Linked DNA regions of Oryzias latipes. The protein of the gene in region 2 interacts with the protein of the main gene of each other region in a pairwise test. Links are inferred from orthologs where the notes say so. Each region holds a gene or a part of one and is shown on either strand. Other genes may lie near its edges.

The links. The genes of interacting proteins can lie anywhere in the genome.
Region 1: the proteins of sf1 (region 2) and sf3a1 interact in binary tests that used the Homo sapiens proteins (3 or more experiments, as listed by UniProt). The link is inferred for Oryzias latipes from reciprocal best matches to the Homo sapiens genes SF1 and SF3A1.
Region 3: the proteins of sf1 (region 2) and kpna1 interact in binary tests that used the Homo sapiens proteins (3 or more experiments, as listed by UniProt). The link is inferred for Oryzias latipes from reciprocal best matches to the Homo sapiens genes SF1 and KPNA1.
Region 4: the proteins of sf1 (region 2) and fam168a interact in binary tests that used the Homo sapiens proteins (3 or more experiments, as listed by UniProt). The two-hybrid records come from large-scale screens. The link is inferred for Oryzias latipes from reciprocal best matches to the Homo sapiens genes SF1 and FAM168A.

Annotation. Positions count from the first base shown.
Region 1 is NC_019867.2:18,886,040-18,890,314, forward strand, and holds the start of sf3a1 (splicing factor 3A subunit 1), read right to left. Parts: upstream 2,801-4,275; 5' UTR 2,778-2,800; intron 2,667-2,777; 5' UTR 2,625-2,666; coding exon 2,577-2,624; intron 2,085-2,576; coding exon 1,975-2,084; intron 1,893-1,974; coding exon 1,688-1,892; intron 1,614-1,687; coding exon 1,356-1,613; intron 1,272-1,355; coding exon 1,197-1,271; intron 1,132-1,196; coding exon 981-1,131; intron 901-980; coding exon 704-900; intron 600-703; coding exon 482-599; intron 378-481; coding exon 70-377; intron 1-69. Other genes in the region: ccdc157 (coiled-coil domain-containing protein 157), read left to right, coding at 2,801-3,165, 3,303-3,453, 3,542-4,229. UniProt on the Homo sapiens protein: Component of the 17S U2 SnRNP complex of the spliceosome, a large ribonucleoprotein complex that removes introns from transcribed pre-mRNAs.
Region 2 is NC_019876.2:29,186,658-29,190,192, reverse strand, and holds the end of sf1 (splicing factor 1), read right to left. Parts: coding exon 3,432-3,535; intron 3,347-3,431; coding exon 3,231-3,346; intron 3,103-3,230; coding exon 2,995-3,102; intron 2,918-2,994; coding exon 2,728-2,917; intron 2,657-2,727; coding exon 2,416-2,656; intron 1,727-2,415; coding exon 1,562-1,726; intron 1,441-1,561; coding exon 1,112-1,440; 3' UTR 511-1,111; downstream 1-510. UniProt on the Homo sapiens protein: Necessary for the ATP-dependent first step of spliceosome assembly. Binds to the intron branch point sequence (BPS) 5'-UACUAAC-3' of the pre-mRNA. May act as transcription repressor.
Region 3 is NC_019878.2:17,889,062-17,893,171, forward strand, and holds the start of kpna1 (importin subunit alpha-5), read right to left. Parts: upstream 2,801-4,110; 5' UTR 2,685-2,800; intron 2,067-2,684; 5' UTR 2,059-2,066; coding exon 1,933-2,058; intron 1,667-1,932; coding exon 1,553-1,666; intron 1,452-1,552; coding exon 1,352-1,451; intron 1,080-1,351; coding exon 985-1,079; intron 871-984; coding exon 739-870; intron 622-738; coding exon 533-621; intron 435-532; coding exon 335-434; intron 1-334. UniProt on the Homo sapiens protein: Functions in nuclear protein import as an adapter protein for nuclear receptor KPNB1. Binds specifically and directly to substrates containing either a simple or bipartite NLS motif.
Region 4 is NC_019871.2:20,750,915-20,754,893, forward strand, and holds the start of fam168a (protein FAM168A), read right to left. Parts: upstream 2,801-3,979; 5' UTR 2,675-2,800; intron 2,090-2,674; exon of another isoform or gene 1,295-2,089; intron 1-1,294.

The DNA of each region.
Region 1 (4,275 bases), on a different chromosome or scaffold from region 2:
CAGGTTGATAAAAAAACGAGTTCAAATGATGCTTTTCACAAAAACCATGCTACTTTCTACGGAACTCACCTTCTCCTCTGGCTTCTGGATTTCCTCTTCACCAATCTTCTTACCAATGGCTGTCTCTTCAACACCAAAGATATCAGTACGCCTCTCAGCGAGCTGCTTCAAGCTGCTCTCGATATCCAGACCAGGAGCATAGACTTCATCCTCTGTCTGTCTATCCCTGATGCTGCGGTCTCTTTGTTCCAGCCAGCGTGGGTCCAGCAGACCAATGCGCATGTGCTCCTGCATCTTGCTGGCTGGGATCTTCTCACCAGTGATTGGTGAAATGAGGTACTCATCTGGAGCTGCAACTGAGGGCATAGGCTTGGAGGCTGTGAAAAAAAAAAAAAAAAAAGGAAACAAGTTTTAATGCACCGCTTGTTTTATTTGCTTGTTTTTATACTTCATAATATTTCAATCACAGAAAAAAATGTACCTTTGGGATCATAGTCTTTTCGAATGATGACGTGGTCTGGAGTCGGGGGCAGAGGAGGTGGCATGGGGTTGTCAGGTGGAAGTGGAGCTTTAATTCCATCGTCCTCATCATCTGATCCCTGGAGAAGTAGCATTTTAAATTTGTGAATTTGCTACACAAGTAACCAAGAAACCTAGACAAGTGTTGGACTTTGTATAAATGTAGTAAATGATAACTGTTTACCTCATCCATGTCCTGCACTTGTGTGTCTTGGTCAGGCTGTGAGGGTTGACCTCCGGCTCGTTTCTCCCGTTCATCCTCTTCATCCTCACTCTCAACTTCCATCTCCACCTCCTCACTTTCTCCATACTTCTCATAGCGCTCCTGGATGAGGATTCGAGCACCAAGCTCCTCTGGAGTGGTAGGTGGGGGGAAGTGGCCTTGGAAAAACACCAAATGAATAAATTAATAACTATGGTTCTTGCAACATCTGGACCTGGTGTTCCTATAGTCATGCTACCTTGTTCATTGGGCTGGAAGTCCACAGTCTCCACCACGACAAAGTCATGCCAGTCAATTTGAGCATAGGCTACGCGTTCCTTCTCTCGCTCCTCTTCCTCCTTCTTTCTCTCACGCTCCTGGTACTTTGCCCACTCAACACGGTATCTCACCTGATGTTTGTAACAAGACAGTTTTAAACATAGAAAATAATCTTCTGAAGGCTAAAATAAATTACCTGGTCCATAACCTCCTTTGGATTCTCAGCCTCTCTCTTTAGTTTGGCCAGCAGACCCTTTGGGGGGATCAGAATCTAAAGGTTGAGGCAACATTTAAAAAAGTTCAATAACACAGTTTCAATAAAAAAACAAAGAAAGCTGTAATTTTTGTCCTTTACCTTGGTATATTGTTCCACCAGTTTTGTGAAGTAGTTGAAAAGGCTGTGCTGGGGTCTCAAAAAGTCAAATTGGTAGTTCCTCTGTTCTTTTTGCATGAGCTGGGTGAGAAACTGACGGCCGTTTCGTGCAACAAACTGGGCAGTGAGCTTCACAACATCAAGATCGAATGCAGAGATTGATGGAGGATCAGCTATGAATTCAAACTCTGGAGGCGGTTCTTTGGGGACCACAGTTTCCTGAATCACCTGGGACTGCACCTGATGAAGAAAAGGCAAGTTTGTATAAATATAAACCCTTGTAGGTCCGGGCACAGTAAATAGACAGTCCTTACTTTTTGTGGAAGCTGCTGAGATTGCTGCATAGCCTGCTGCATAACCTTGGGCACTGCGGCGGACGGTTCTTGAGCTTTGCCCTCCTTAAACTCATTGACTTTGTGGCGGTAGTAAGCATGGTAGGGATCGTTGGGGTTGAGGAAATTAAATTTTGGATTGTTGATCTCATTCTGACGGATTCTTGCTTCAAACTCAGGCCCATTCCTGTAAAGTGACAAGTATAGAGTCAAACTACAGATAGCAAACACCTCTTACAGCTGTACGTGACAGTTCTTTGGCAACCAACCTGGCAACAAAGCTCGCAGTCTTGTCAACTATATTACGGACCTCAGGAGGAGGATATATGATGCCAACAATAGGTTTAGTGGCTGGAGTTTCCTCCGGAGGTGTATCATTCTGACAAGAGAAGGTTCAAAGTAAGAATATTTATATTTAAAAATAACATCAAGTACAGTGAAGTTCCTCCTTAAAAATATTATTACACAAACATTATCAATTCACTTATTAATTAATAAGACTTACTTTAGGTAATTCTAAGATACACTGCAACAATTTAAACATTAAACCACTCGATCATTAAAAACCTGAGAATACAACTAACACATTTAGTCTAAACCATATGCAAAGATACCAAATATTGAAGTGCAATCATAGTTTAAGTAATATCTGTTACCTAATTTTATTGACTTTCTCAACTTGGGAATTTTTAGGGCCACACATATAGACGCAAACGTTGCCCCATATGTTTTACAGCTTTATAAACATTAGCATTTAATTTTGGACAGGCTTAGAAAGCTTTGCATAAAGGGGGCGAATTTTATAAGGCGATAAATCATTAAGAAAAGCGACGGATATCTGAGGCTAATGTTAGCTAGTTAGCGTCCTTACCTTGTTGTTAGGCTCAGGCTGAACCATTTGAACAGGCCCGGGCGGCATGGCTGCGTCTTTTTAACGAATCACCAATTTTACCTGAAAACACTAAAGCAACACACATATATTTTGAAATGAATTCTTTAAAAAAAATTCTGTAAGTCAAAAAGTAATAGCTAATACAGCTATAATTCTTTATTTGTCGACGTTAATACTCACCGCGTCTCGTTTTCGTTAACGCAATGGCGGCCAATTACTTCCGGAAATATCCGCTAAGAACTGTGGGACTTGGAGTTAACTGTTGCCAAGGAGACCTCACGTCAACAAGTACTTATAGGCGCCAAATAAGCGTTTTAGACATGAGTTTGTTGTTGGGTCGTCAGGATTCTATCAAGAATCTAAGAAAAGACCTCATCGATATTCAGGGTGCGGTTCTGGACGTGCTCTCCAGAACAGGACCAGTCTGCGCTTCCTCCTGGAAATTCCCGGACAAACTTTCCTGTCATCTAGACATTGTTGCTTTGTTGGAGGAATATGACTTCGTGGCAGGAGAAGATGACTTCAATCAGCATTCCCACATTATTCTCCTGGAATTGATGATTGACAGGTAACCTAATGTTGTATTGCATGTAAAATATATATATATATATATATATATATATATATATATATATATATATATATATATATATATATATATAATGACTTTAAAAGCATCTCTGCATGTTCTTGTTCCCCAACAAGGCTCCTGTTTCTTCTTCAAAGCGTCAGCGTTTATGCTGAACAACAGATGGGGGTCCACAGACCAGAAGGAGCTGCACACAGAGGCAGCATGTCAGTTGGTCTTGTGGTCAGGAATTATTGGGGGGATTTACTTCAATTTGCAGATAAAAAGGTAAAGAAACCTCTTTTTCTAGTAATGCCACAGGGATAAAAACACATGCAAAAGTATTTGACTTTAAATGCCTTTTATGTCTTTTTAGGAACTCTTCAAAAACATTGCAGAAAAGACAAATTCAGTGGAATCTGATGAGTCAAACGTCGAGTCCCCTCTCAATAGATCCAGCACAAGTTGCTCCAGGCATTCTTCCATATCCTGGTCTTCCACAAGCTCATTTAAATTCCTCCCACAAAATAACATCACCATCAGTTCCCCCGAACAAACCTCATTCCATCCTAAAACTGCCTCCCATAATGTCAGCTGCCAGACTGCACAAACGTCCCTCATCCCTTGTGGTACATGTCACCAAGTGCAATCTCTTTTGAGAAAAACTGGAGAATCTTTGATAGATCTGTTTCAAAGTGAAGGTCTACCCTCATCTCTGCAGCCTCTCTCAGCAGTTGTGGATGAGACAGTGAGGGTGGGACATCTGACTCCAGGTGATGTTGCACAGTGGGCCAATGAACAGCTCAGAGACATGCGCAGGCTGGCAAAACACCTGCAGGATGTGAGGGGAACGGTACTGCCCCTCCAAGACAGAGTAGCAGCAGCTGAAACGGATCGTGAGGCCATCAGATCTCAACTAAAAACAGTGCAGAAGGATTTTGAACAACAACTAGAAAAACAGCAAACAAATATAGAACAACTGGAGTTTTCACTGCAGGAAGCACAGAGAAGCGCAAAGCAAACTGAACAAAAGCAACAGGAGGAGCATAAACAGCTTAAAAAAGGTATTAATCACATTAACCAGCACAATAAAAACAAGTTAGGATCATG
Region 2 (3,535 bases):
CTGTAAGCTAGCGGGACAGAGTGTAAACAAAGAAATGATGGGACATCAGAGGTGAATTTGATGAACTCCTGCCGCTCTGCAGAAACTATGTCCTAGAAAACGACATGCTCTAATTTTGGCTAAAAACGTTGAAAAAAATAGAACAGAAGATGACCGGAGTGGGTCTTTGAAACTACTTTTGCATTTAGTTTTGGTAAATATTCATCTAAATACATGTAAATACCTATTATTAAAACACAGTAAGGGGCAATGAGGGGATCTGCGTCCTGAGACTCTTCCTGTTGTCTCTGCTGCAATTTTTAGAGATCTGTTGGGAAATCTGAACGACAAGTCCTCAAAGAAGCTTTGACCTCCGTTTGCACCGTATGTGAGACATGCGTGTTACACAGCTTCTGCAACACGGAGGCGGAGCGAGAAGTTCACGCAGCAGCAGACGTTTGACAGAACGGGTTCATGGTTGACAATCCTGAGATTTCAGAGTGAGTGCAAAGACCTCACATCCACAGAAAGGAAGCTTACTGATCAGTTTATTACCAAACCAAGAATTATATTTTTATTGAGGTCAGAGACAAATCCACAAACAAGGAAAAAGACAAGATGCTCTGTTGACGTCCGTCTAAGAAAGAACAGAACAGAATCTTCTCAAAGCCACACAAACGCCGTTCCGTCTCTGCGTTTCTGAACGCAGATGCAGTGAAAAGAAGAGCAGGAAACAGCAATTATAGTCTAGAGCTAAGCAACCAACAGGGAAATGAGTTACAACACGGAGCGTTTTGGACTGAGCTAAGATCCGTGTCACCGATCGTCTCACTGTTACAAAAATATTCATCTGATTGAAGGCGGGAAAACAGAGAAGGGCGGGAAAACAGCGGACCAGACTGAGCTCGGATCATGCAGCTTCAGCTGGGACCTCAAACTAAAATGTTCAGATTCATTGGAGCACAGAAACCATGAAGGGGGGGCGGGTTTCCATGACAACCGCGGCGCTGCAGCAGCAGAACGGATGCAGCCGCTCACAGCTGGAAACCACTCCTCTGTGGACTGTAGCGTCAATCAGCCGGACCGAATCATGTGATGGAGGGGGGGGCTGTCGGGCAACTGCAATTGAGAATTAATTCTGTGGGGGAGGAGGAGGAGGGGCGGGGGGCATCCCAAAGGGTGGCATGCCCGGAACTCCCATCCCCATCATGGTAACAAAATTGGAAGGGTCCATGGGTGGCGGAGGGGGCGGCGGAACATACATCATGCTGGTGGAGCCCGGAGGTGGTGGGGGTGGCGGCGGAGGGGCGCCTGGGGGCAAGGGGGGCTGGACCCCGGGAGGAGGCGGCACCATGGATGCGGTTCCGATGGGCAGAGGGGGCTGAGCTGCAGACACAGAAGGCTGTTGGGGCTGCTGCCATGGAGGCAGCGTGCCGGTGCTGGAGGTGGTGGTGGTGGTGTCTGCGAGGGAGGAGGAGGGGACAGACGGTCACCAAACGGCGCCAAAACGCAGCAACACCGCCCTGGCGTGACCCTGCTGGGGTCTGACATGCACTGCACCAGATTCTGGTTGGATACTTACTCTGCTGCCACGGCAGCGGTGTACTTGTTGCCATGCTGCTTGTAGGAGGAGGGGGCGGAGCCTGTTGTTGCCATGGTGGCAAGGGAGCGGAGGGTGGTGGAGGGGGCTGGCTGCTGGGGGGTGGAGGAGGTGGTGGCATCATACCCATTGGAGGTGGCATCATACCTAAACAAACAGATGTGATGCTCAGTTCTGCTTTGAAGGTTCAGAGGAAGGCGCCGCCTTCCACCTTTATTTATAAACCAAATCAATCTTTATTTATAAAACACTTTAAACACAAAAATCCTTTACACCAAAGTAAATATTATATAAAATTGAAAGCACAATAATATACTTTTTTTTGCCAGAATTGATTGACTGTAAATGGGAACTGGACTGAGTGACCCCTCCCCCCCCGGCGTTCCAAACAGGAAGTACCTGCTGGCTCCAAAAAGCCAAAATTCCAGACTTCGATAGAGAACTAAGGACCGCTCTGGCTCAGATTCCTATTTTAAAATCTTGATAATGCTAAATGTTTTTAAAATCTCTTTTCTTTCTTGCAAGTCACTCAAGTTATAAACGGACCAATCAGACGCCCCGCTAAATGTGAGCGTTGAAAACGTGTGATTGACAGATTCTCCTGAGCCTGCTTTCAGGTGTGGCCTTTCAACAAGCTCACTCCTGGTTGCCATAGAAACGTCTACTCAGGCAGATCCCTTCTTACTGATGGTTCCAACATGACGGCGTCCATACCGTGAGAAAGTGGCGACTGAATTGACTTCATTAGGTTGGGGCCAGAAGTGAACCGTTTTACTTGCTGACCGCTACATTTGAATTTGAAAGTCAGTTTGTTTGAAAAGAAGAGTAATATTTACATTGTGCGTCTTCTGGGCAATGAAAGCTCCTACCCATGGGGTGTCCATGGGGTCCCTGGCCCATGGGAGGTGGGGGCGGCTGCATCCAGGGTGGGGGCATTCCGTTAGGATTGGGAGGAAGCGGTGGTCCTCCCATGCTAGGCATCGGGGGAGGGAAGCCGTGGGGTCCAGCGGGACCTCCCTGAACAGCAGAGTAGTTCCTGTTCTCTGAGGGGCCAGAGCTCATCCAGGGGGGGCGGTTCTGAAACACACATCAGCTAAGACGCTTTCCACTCATCAAAGAAGCAGCTCCAGTCTGTTTCCTGAACTGACCATCGCCTGGTTGCTGTTGGGGCCGGAATTCCGAGATCCTGACTGAGAGTTGGAGTGTCCCCCGCCAGAGCTGGGGACGGGGGCCTCCCCCAGCTCAGCCATGAGGGACAGGTATTCTTTGTCCATACGAGCCTTGTCCTGCGCTGACTGGGGGGGCTCCCCGCCTGTGGCTCTGTGGGCAGCGAAGGTGCTGCAGAACAACAACAACAAATGAATCTTTGTGACGAGTTCTGCAACTGGAACCTCCAGACCGAGGCTGATGGTTACCTGGTGTACTTGCAGTCAGAAGAGATGTGACCGGCTCCACCACACTTTGTGCAAAGGGTGGTGTTGGTGATGCTGCGTGGCTCCGAGTTCTGCCAAGGACGAAGAATCCTGCAAGGAAAAACGAGGAAACAATCTTCAGCGCCGCTTTCAACATAAAGCTTGAACCTTTCCCTAAATCCTCCTTTCGTGGAGTCGTTTTTATGGGCAGAACAGCCCATAGCGCCACACACACACACCTGTTGTCGTCTTCTCTGAGAGTGCCGTTGAGTCTGGCCAGCTCCCTCAGCTGCATCTTGCGTAGGTCGTTTTGGTCCTCAGGCGTCTCGATTCCTTGCTTGAGGATGTTTCGGATCTGTGAACAGTTTTCCCATCAGAACCAAATCTGCTCCTGTAGCTGGAAACACATCAGACTGGGAAGTGTCCACCAGCAAACACACCTGCTCCACAGCCTTCTTGACATTTTCCATGGTGTTGGCCGTGACCAAGGCGTGCAGAGGCTCGTCCTCTCCGGGCAGCATCTGGCCATCCTTTCGCCCGACCT
Region 3 (4,110 bases), on a different chromosome or scaffold from region 2:
GCTGGGAGCTGGCTGCGCCGCTAAAAACAATCTTTAGCTGGGATTTGTGGAGGGAACAGAGATTTTACCAGCCATGTTGGCACCTTTGATTGGTTAGACTGATGATGTACATGTTTGAGCCTCTAAACTTGATTGGCAGAAAGGGTTTTACAAGTAAAACTTTTTCCAAGTTACAGAGATTGGGTAAAGTTGCAATGTCAAGAAAAAGTTGCAAGTGTGCAATTCCAACATCTGAAAGTCCTGGAGGGTCGGTAAATAATTACCAACAATGGTTTTTAACTTAACTTGTTCTTTGGGAATGAGAGACATGTTAAGTATCATCTTGAGAAATTACCTTGGAGAAGTCAGGAGGAGGATTTTTGCCTCTGCACAGGTTAGACAGTGCCCAAACTGCATTCCTCATCATTGTTAAACGATTCTGTTTAGCCAATAATCTGAAAAAAGGAGTTCGATGTTCAAACATGGACTTGTTCATATTTATCTCACGTGAAACGAGAACCATAGAGCTGTTTAACAATAATCTGCTACTTACTGGATCAGGGATGGTAGAATATTGCAGTCTATGACAAAGTCTCTGCATTCTGTGCTATCACCTGCTATATTACCCAAAGCCCACACTGCCTACAGAAGAGGAAATAATTCAAGTTAGACATAAAAAAACGAATTTACGAAATATGTAATAATTTGAAAATAAGAATATGAAAAGAGATAAATATTGACAACAAAAATGTCCCTCACCTGTTCTTGCACATCTTCAAAATCCGAGGCGAGCATCTCTATGAATATGGGAACAGCTCCTGCCTGGATTACGACCCTAGTCTGGTGGGATGTGCCTGAAGCAATGTTGGTCAAAACCCACGCAGCTTCAAACTAAGAAAAACACGACCAATTTATGTCAGGACAGACAAAAAAAACTCCATCTAAAACACTATAGCTCATGATTACTAGACTAGCTGCATTTGTTCAGGCATTAAACCACTTTACCTGCAATGTGCAATTTTCTCTTCTTTTTAGGAACTCAACAAAACGCTCCACCACCCCTGAAGTGGCAATGACCTCATCAATAGGTGGATTGGGCTCTGTTGGAGACAAAAATTGAGACAATTTTTATTTAATTAAAAATTAAAAATAAATCAAATCAGAACAGTCTTTCGTTATTTTTGTAATATTAAAAAAAAATGAAAGAAATGAAGATGATGCAGCAAATTGAATTTGAACATGATCAAGATTGTTTCTAGTTCTAGATAACTTACAAGGCTGTTTAGCTCTAGTTAAACAGTAGAATGTGTTGATGCATTTGTTCATCGCTCTATGCGATATAGAACAGGCTGGCATTCAGCTAGACCTTTACCTTTAGAAAGGAGTTTTCTAAAGCGTTGTGTGCCTATTAGCTGCTGCTCTGGAGTGCTGGAGAAAATCATCTGAATCATGTCCTCAGAAATGACCCCACCCTTTGCAGAACATAGTAAAAACAATAACAGATCAGTCAAATTTATTGTGAAAGATGCAACAAACAACACCATAAAAAAGGTTTTATTGAGCTAATTCTCACCCCAAATGGGTCCATGTTGTTAGCCTGGGATTCCAGATAACCACTATCTGCCATTCCATCATCCTCCAGGGCACCATCATCCTCCACAGTGGCAACATTTCTTCTTTTAAATAGCTGCAAAGACACAGTCCTTAAAGTTGTACAAAGAAATAGTACAGCATCTTTTGGTTTTATTATTATATGTACTTTGACTAGGTAAGAAGCAGCATAACAAAAATAACTGCTGTTACCAGTTTGTATATCTTCTACTTGTCTTATATGGAAGTAACACAATTCCATATTGTAAAAACCTAAGCAATTTATGAGGGGGGAAAAAAGCTAGGAAAACACACTAAATTATTGTGTTTGATGGATGAATATAAAGTTTACACTTTACTTACTTGTTCGTCCTTCTTCTGTTTTCTGAGCTGCAGGCCTTCCTCTTCCCTCCTTCTTCTCATCTCATCTGTGTTGAGAGACTTGTTCTTGTAGCTCTTCAGTCGTGCATTATCCTTCCCCTGACTCATTTTGTAGCCTGAGAAAATGAAGAATTTTAGTCTCGTTAGTAGTCCCGGTGGTGCAGAACTTTAGTGTTACAGATCCTGGAAAACCCACATGTTGTAGATGTATTGTAATGTCTGTATTTTCTTTTACATTCTTCTGTGTATTTCTTCAGGTTTTCATGACAATCACCGCAATGTATAGCAAAACCAAGAATGCAGGTCGTTTTCAGACGTCTCGAACATATTACTCAAGATTGTCAGAAGGGCTTGTAGCAGTTAGCTTTATAGTTTGCTAGCTTTCGGCATGTTTGCCCAATACCAAAATCATTACTGTGGAACAAATGACTTTTCTTTCTATTTATAGAGAGATATGGGTTCTCATTAGAAATCAAGACATCAAACAGTCTATAGTAAAAAATGCTTATTTACTTAATTTCCCACATGATTAGCTTGTTGATGTCACAGCTCTTGCTAGCCTCTGCTGCTAACGAGCTAGCTTGACGTTAGCTTAGCTGAAAACCCCGAGTAACACATGCCTTTTAACAGCTTATTTGTCACCAAACTTTTAAACACACATACTAAAATCATTTATTCGTAATCTAAAAGCGGTAAAAGTATAGAACAACAATGTGTAGATACATTATACATACCTGTCAGTTTAGGTTTTATAATCCCCTAAATCGCTAAGCCACTGCTTCTGCTGCCGTCGCCGGTATGCCACTACGCATGCGTCAAATAAACGTATTCAGTGACGCTCCTTTGGCTCCACCCACACAAGGAGCTGGCCCTGGTAAACAAGTGAATAGTTGTGCGGTTTTCAAAAAAAATGGACACAAACTCTAATGATGGAGTTTCTTTTTGAAGCACAGTCGGTATGTGGGTATCGCAGTTCAATCAATGGCTGAAATCGTGCTTTCAAACTTCAAGGAGGGGTCGTGTGTGCAACACCTGCCCGCGTGCAGGTGTGTTTTTAAATGTTTTTGAAGTGGCCCTGACTAGACGATCCGGCGCCTGTGGTCTTTAAATGACCCGAGGTGGACACCGTGTCCATCCAAATGATGAAGTGGCCTTAAATGTTTGGGCTGCAAAAGATTAACAGATGTTAAAAGTGATACTTCTCAACAAAGGAAAAAGAAATTAGGATCATGACATAAAAAAATTAAGCTAAGCAATAGACAGAACCAACACAATGGCCTAATTGGCGCATACATTCAAATCTGCATCCCAAAAATAGCTCTTAAATTAGTTTTTTTAGCCTAATTTAACCTCCTTTTTATTCCTAAAAGTACGAATTGATACACCTGTAAAATAATCTGAAGAACAAAGCCTTTGAGTGCCCAAACATCTGCAATCATTGTTTCAGGTTTTATTTTGAAAGTATTTAAATTTAAAACTCTCCAGACTAACTTGGAACTGATCGAAATTTGTGTTCCAAAAATGGCCTCGGTGCAAACAACTGTGGATGTCCAGAGCGCGCACGTCCTCAGCGAGGACTGCTTTGACATGTGGCACGACTACATGAACCTGGGCGCACTCCTGCAAAGGCTGTGCAACCGGCGGCAGGTCGACCCCGAGAAGCCGAAGCAGGAACCCGCGGCGCCGTGGCGCATCATCCAGACGCAGAGCTCCGCAGAGACGAGCTCCGTCAGCAGCCTCTCGGACACCAGTTGCGGCGGGAGCCCCGCAGATTACTGCCGCTTCTGCAAGCAGAACGGCGAGACTCGGCAGGTCTACCGCTCGCACGCGCTCAGGTCGGACGACAGGAAGGTCACCTGCCCCATCCTCCGAAACTACACCTGTCCCATCTGCGGGGCCACCGGAGACCGCGCTCACACGCGCAAGTATTGCCCGCAAGCGCAGAGAGAGGATGCTGCGAGGATGCTGCCCGCCAACAAGTTCTGGTAACTGATGATGATGATGATCCCACTGAAGAGACCAGTTATCCACCGTTGAGACAATGTTTTCAGTTAAACACCAAAGGAAAAACCGAAATCATCGTTACAAGTTTTTAGAGTCTATAGCAGTTTCAGAGCTGGTTCATGTTTGACTTTAAAAATCTGCTTGATTGTCAATCTG
Region 4 (3,979 bases), on a different chromosome or scaffold from region 2:
GTCATCTCGTAGTCACCATTAAAAATGAAATCTCGAATTAACAGATAGTATAGTGGGCTGCTGAAGGCTACTTGAATGAAGATTTTTTTGAATGTCTTTAGGTCCCTAAGCAGCAAATCCTTAAGCAGCTCCAATCACAGGAAAAAAAAGTGTTGACAACACAAAGGTCTATTTGTGAGCTCCTGATGTAACACTAAGTGATTCTAGCTTTTAAAGGTTTGACAGTTTAATAGCTCCATTATACAGCCAGCTAAAACTCAACAATGCCACACACCAGCTTAGATGACAGGACAGATGAAGACCACAACAGGCTAAATTCTAAATCTATACCTTTGCTTTACATGTTTAAAACAAATATACATGATTTTGAGCCGGGATAGCACATGTTTCAATTAGGAAATATGCTTATTTTATAGGAGGAGTTACAAAATACTATTTCAAGTTTAAGACGGATGTGTCAAAACACGAACCGAAGTGATAAAAACTAGGGATGTCCTGATCAGGTCACATGATCAAAAAATTGGGCCCAATTAACACACTATACATCCCAAGCTTATTATTTCAAAAAATGCCCTAGTAGAAGTCTGTATATCATGAACGGATCACGACTCTAGTTTGAATAGGAGTGAAGAACAAAAACATTTTGGTAAAGTTAGCAATATATTCACAGATTCAGGCTTACGGGCTGAATAACTCTCTTAAGCGCTTTAAACTAACAAAAGGTGTCTCTATCAGTTTGTCTTAAGCCAAGCAATGACCTACAAAGGCATTTCAATCAATTTTTTTCCCTCTTTAATATCTACTCTAGCAAAGAAACCGCTGCCAAGGGACCGTCTACAAAGTGAAAGCTCCAGGAAAAGTGATTAAAAAGAATCAAAACAAATAAATGGTTACATTGATATGAACTAGTCATGAATACTCATCATATTCATGCTGAAACAACAATTTTGGAGGAAAGTCATTGTTTTTAATTTTTGGAAATTTTTAATGGAACAAATCAAATCATATATGTTTAAAAAAAACGATCAATAGTTCTAAAGACACTAAAGATACAGTAACCAAACATTCTTACAAGGACTAATTATAAATATATAGTGCACTTTATAGTGCGTTCACCATTTTGTGAGGCTGTCCAAATCTACAAATCCAAAATCGAGTGGCCTAGAAATTTCCCAGAAGTCATTGATGCAGTGTGCATCAATGCTTACTAGATTGGCAAATATAGACCATTATGCATTGCGTCTGAACAATTTTTGCAAGATAAAATGTATTTAAATCTGTTTTCAAATAAAAATTCAACATTTTCATCATCAGAACACAGTGGATTCATAAACAGTTGTTGTAGAACACTCCTATCAATTAGATTTTCACTTTGTGAAATCGGTTGTCATATTCGCTGTTAGCAAAAAAAGTATTGAGCGTGGTGTCTGAATTACTTTTAAAAGGGCACTACATAGTTTACTATATAGTTTTTAGTAGTTAGGGATTAGGGAGGGAATTCGGACACAGCCTAAAGTTTTTTTTACTTTGGCTAAAAATGGCATGATTGTAATTAAGGGACTTCTAAGAACGTTTTTGAACCAATAAACAAATGATCGGTGTCAAAATGTAAAAGAAAGTTAATAAAATAAAAATAGAGGAGAACCTCGATTAGTTTATTAAAATGTTCATTTATTTGATGCGTTACAAACATATCAGATTGGGACTCATTTTAGGGAGATACTCAAAATCAAATGAATCAAACAAACTGGTGCCCAACACAAATCTAACTGGGACTTTCCTACTAAATAAAAGTTGTAACAAATTTATAAAGGTAAACCCATGTTGATTATGCATTTACTCTATTGTTTTCTGTAGGATGGAAATGTATATTTTAAAGCATAACAGGTTTTAGGAAAATAAATAATGATTTTAAAATTGTTTGACAACAAAACATTCTTTTTATCTTGATATATTATTATCCTGCAGCCTCCTGTACATTTCTCAGAACCTTGGTGGTTCGGATGTATTTCTTCTATCAGCCCGCGGCACGCATCGGTCGGGGCTGCGCTGCTCACCACAGATAGCGAGCAACGCCAAAACAGCAAAGGTTGGACAAAAATGGTCACACAGTCAATACAAGCCAAAGACACCATTTTGAAAATCCCCAGATTTTTTGTGCAACAACCTCCAGAAGCTGCCAGTTAACACGAGACGATCAATCAACACGCGTGAGGTCGAATCATTGGGAAACAAAAGCGCTGGAAACGGTTGAACTCTTATCGAAACGTTAGCTTTCAAGCTAGCCCGAAAAAGACAGCCGCTAACCGGCCGCTGCATCCCCGCATCCATCGGTGCACGCTGCTCACGTCGCTAATAGCAGGCTAGCCGATAAATTACCGGACAATTGCAGGAAAAAAACTAACAACAATAACATGGCTTAAATAATGTAAACATGTTTAAATATTTAGATTCGAAACCTATAAGCATTAACGCACATCCGGTGCATTTAGTGTGTCCATTTAGTGTCCGCTATTATCGTTAGCATTTTTAGCTTAGCCCGCTAGATTCCCACTAGTCACCACGGAGGACAATTGAAGGGAAAGGGAGGGGGAAGAAGTCAAAGAACGCAGATATAAAAAGTCGACCTATGGACATTTCTGCCCTCCACGACAGCCAGCAAAACGGGACTCACCGAAACCACTCGAAAACAAAGACTTCTCGGCGTGCTGCGGTGCGCTCGGTCGGTGAGGACTGGTTCTTTCTGCTCGGCCAGTGACGCTTGGAAACAGCTTTCAACCGGAGAGACGGCCGACGTGTGGGGGATGGGGATGCACCGCCGAGAGGGAAGGAGGGAGGGATGCTGGGATGCAAGCAGAACGGCGGGGGGGACGAGGCACCGATTATGAACGGCGGAGGGGGTCCGATCAGCGGATCAATGCGCTCCAAACCACGAGGAGAATGGGAATTTGCGAAGTCACATTTTTTGTTTTGTTTTAATAATAAAGACAACATTATGGGGGGAAAAAATCTTAGGTTAATACTTTATTATTGTAAATAATTAGTAATACATACTATATGAAGCGGCAACATACATGCAACTGCTTTTGGCAAATTATATTATAATATTGTTTGCATTGTTTTTTTTTCTGTACAAAGAAAATCTGGACGTAGTCTATCTTTCTGTCTTCATGTACGTTTTCTACACAGCAAGACAGCGCCGCCATGTGGTCATAAACCAGGTTGCTCACGAATTGTAATTTGTTGATTTCAAACAATCACATTTTCTTCAGAACTGGCTTAATCCTTGGTGGTATGTATTCAACAAGGTGCTGGAAACATTCCTCAGAGAGTTTTGTCCGTATTAACATGATAACATCACGCAGTTGCCTCGGGTTTGTTGGCTGCACATCCATGATGCCAATCTCCCGTGCCACCACCTCCCAAAGGTGATCTATTGGGTTGAGATCTGGTGACTGTGGAGGTCATTTGAGTCCAGTGAACTCATAGTCATGTTCAAGAAACCAGTCTGAGATGATTCCAGCTTTATGACATGGTGCATTATCCTACTGGAAGTACCAAAAGTAGAAACTGTGGTCATAAAGGGACGGACATGGTCAGCGACAATACACAGGTACACTGTGAAGTTGAAAAGATCCTCAATTGGTACTAAGGGACCCAAAGTGTGCCCCCACACCAGTGCACCACCAGCACCAGCCTAAACTCTTGATATAAGACTGGATGGCTCCATGATTTCATGTTTTTGATGCCAAATTCTGACCCTACCATCCAAATGTTGAAGCAGAGATGGAGATTCATCAGACCAGACAAGGTTTTTCCAATCTTCTATTGTCCAGTTTTGGTGAGTCTGTGTTAATTGCAGCCTCAGTTTCCTGTTCTTAGCTGACAGGAGCGGCACCCGGTGAGGTTCTCTGCTGCTGTAGCCCATCTGCCTCACGGTTGGACATGTTGTGCATACAAAGATGCTCTTCTGCAGACC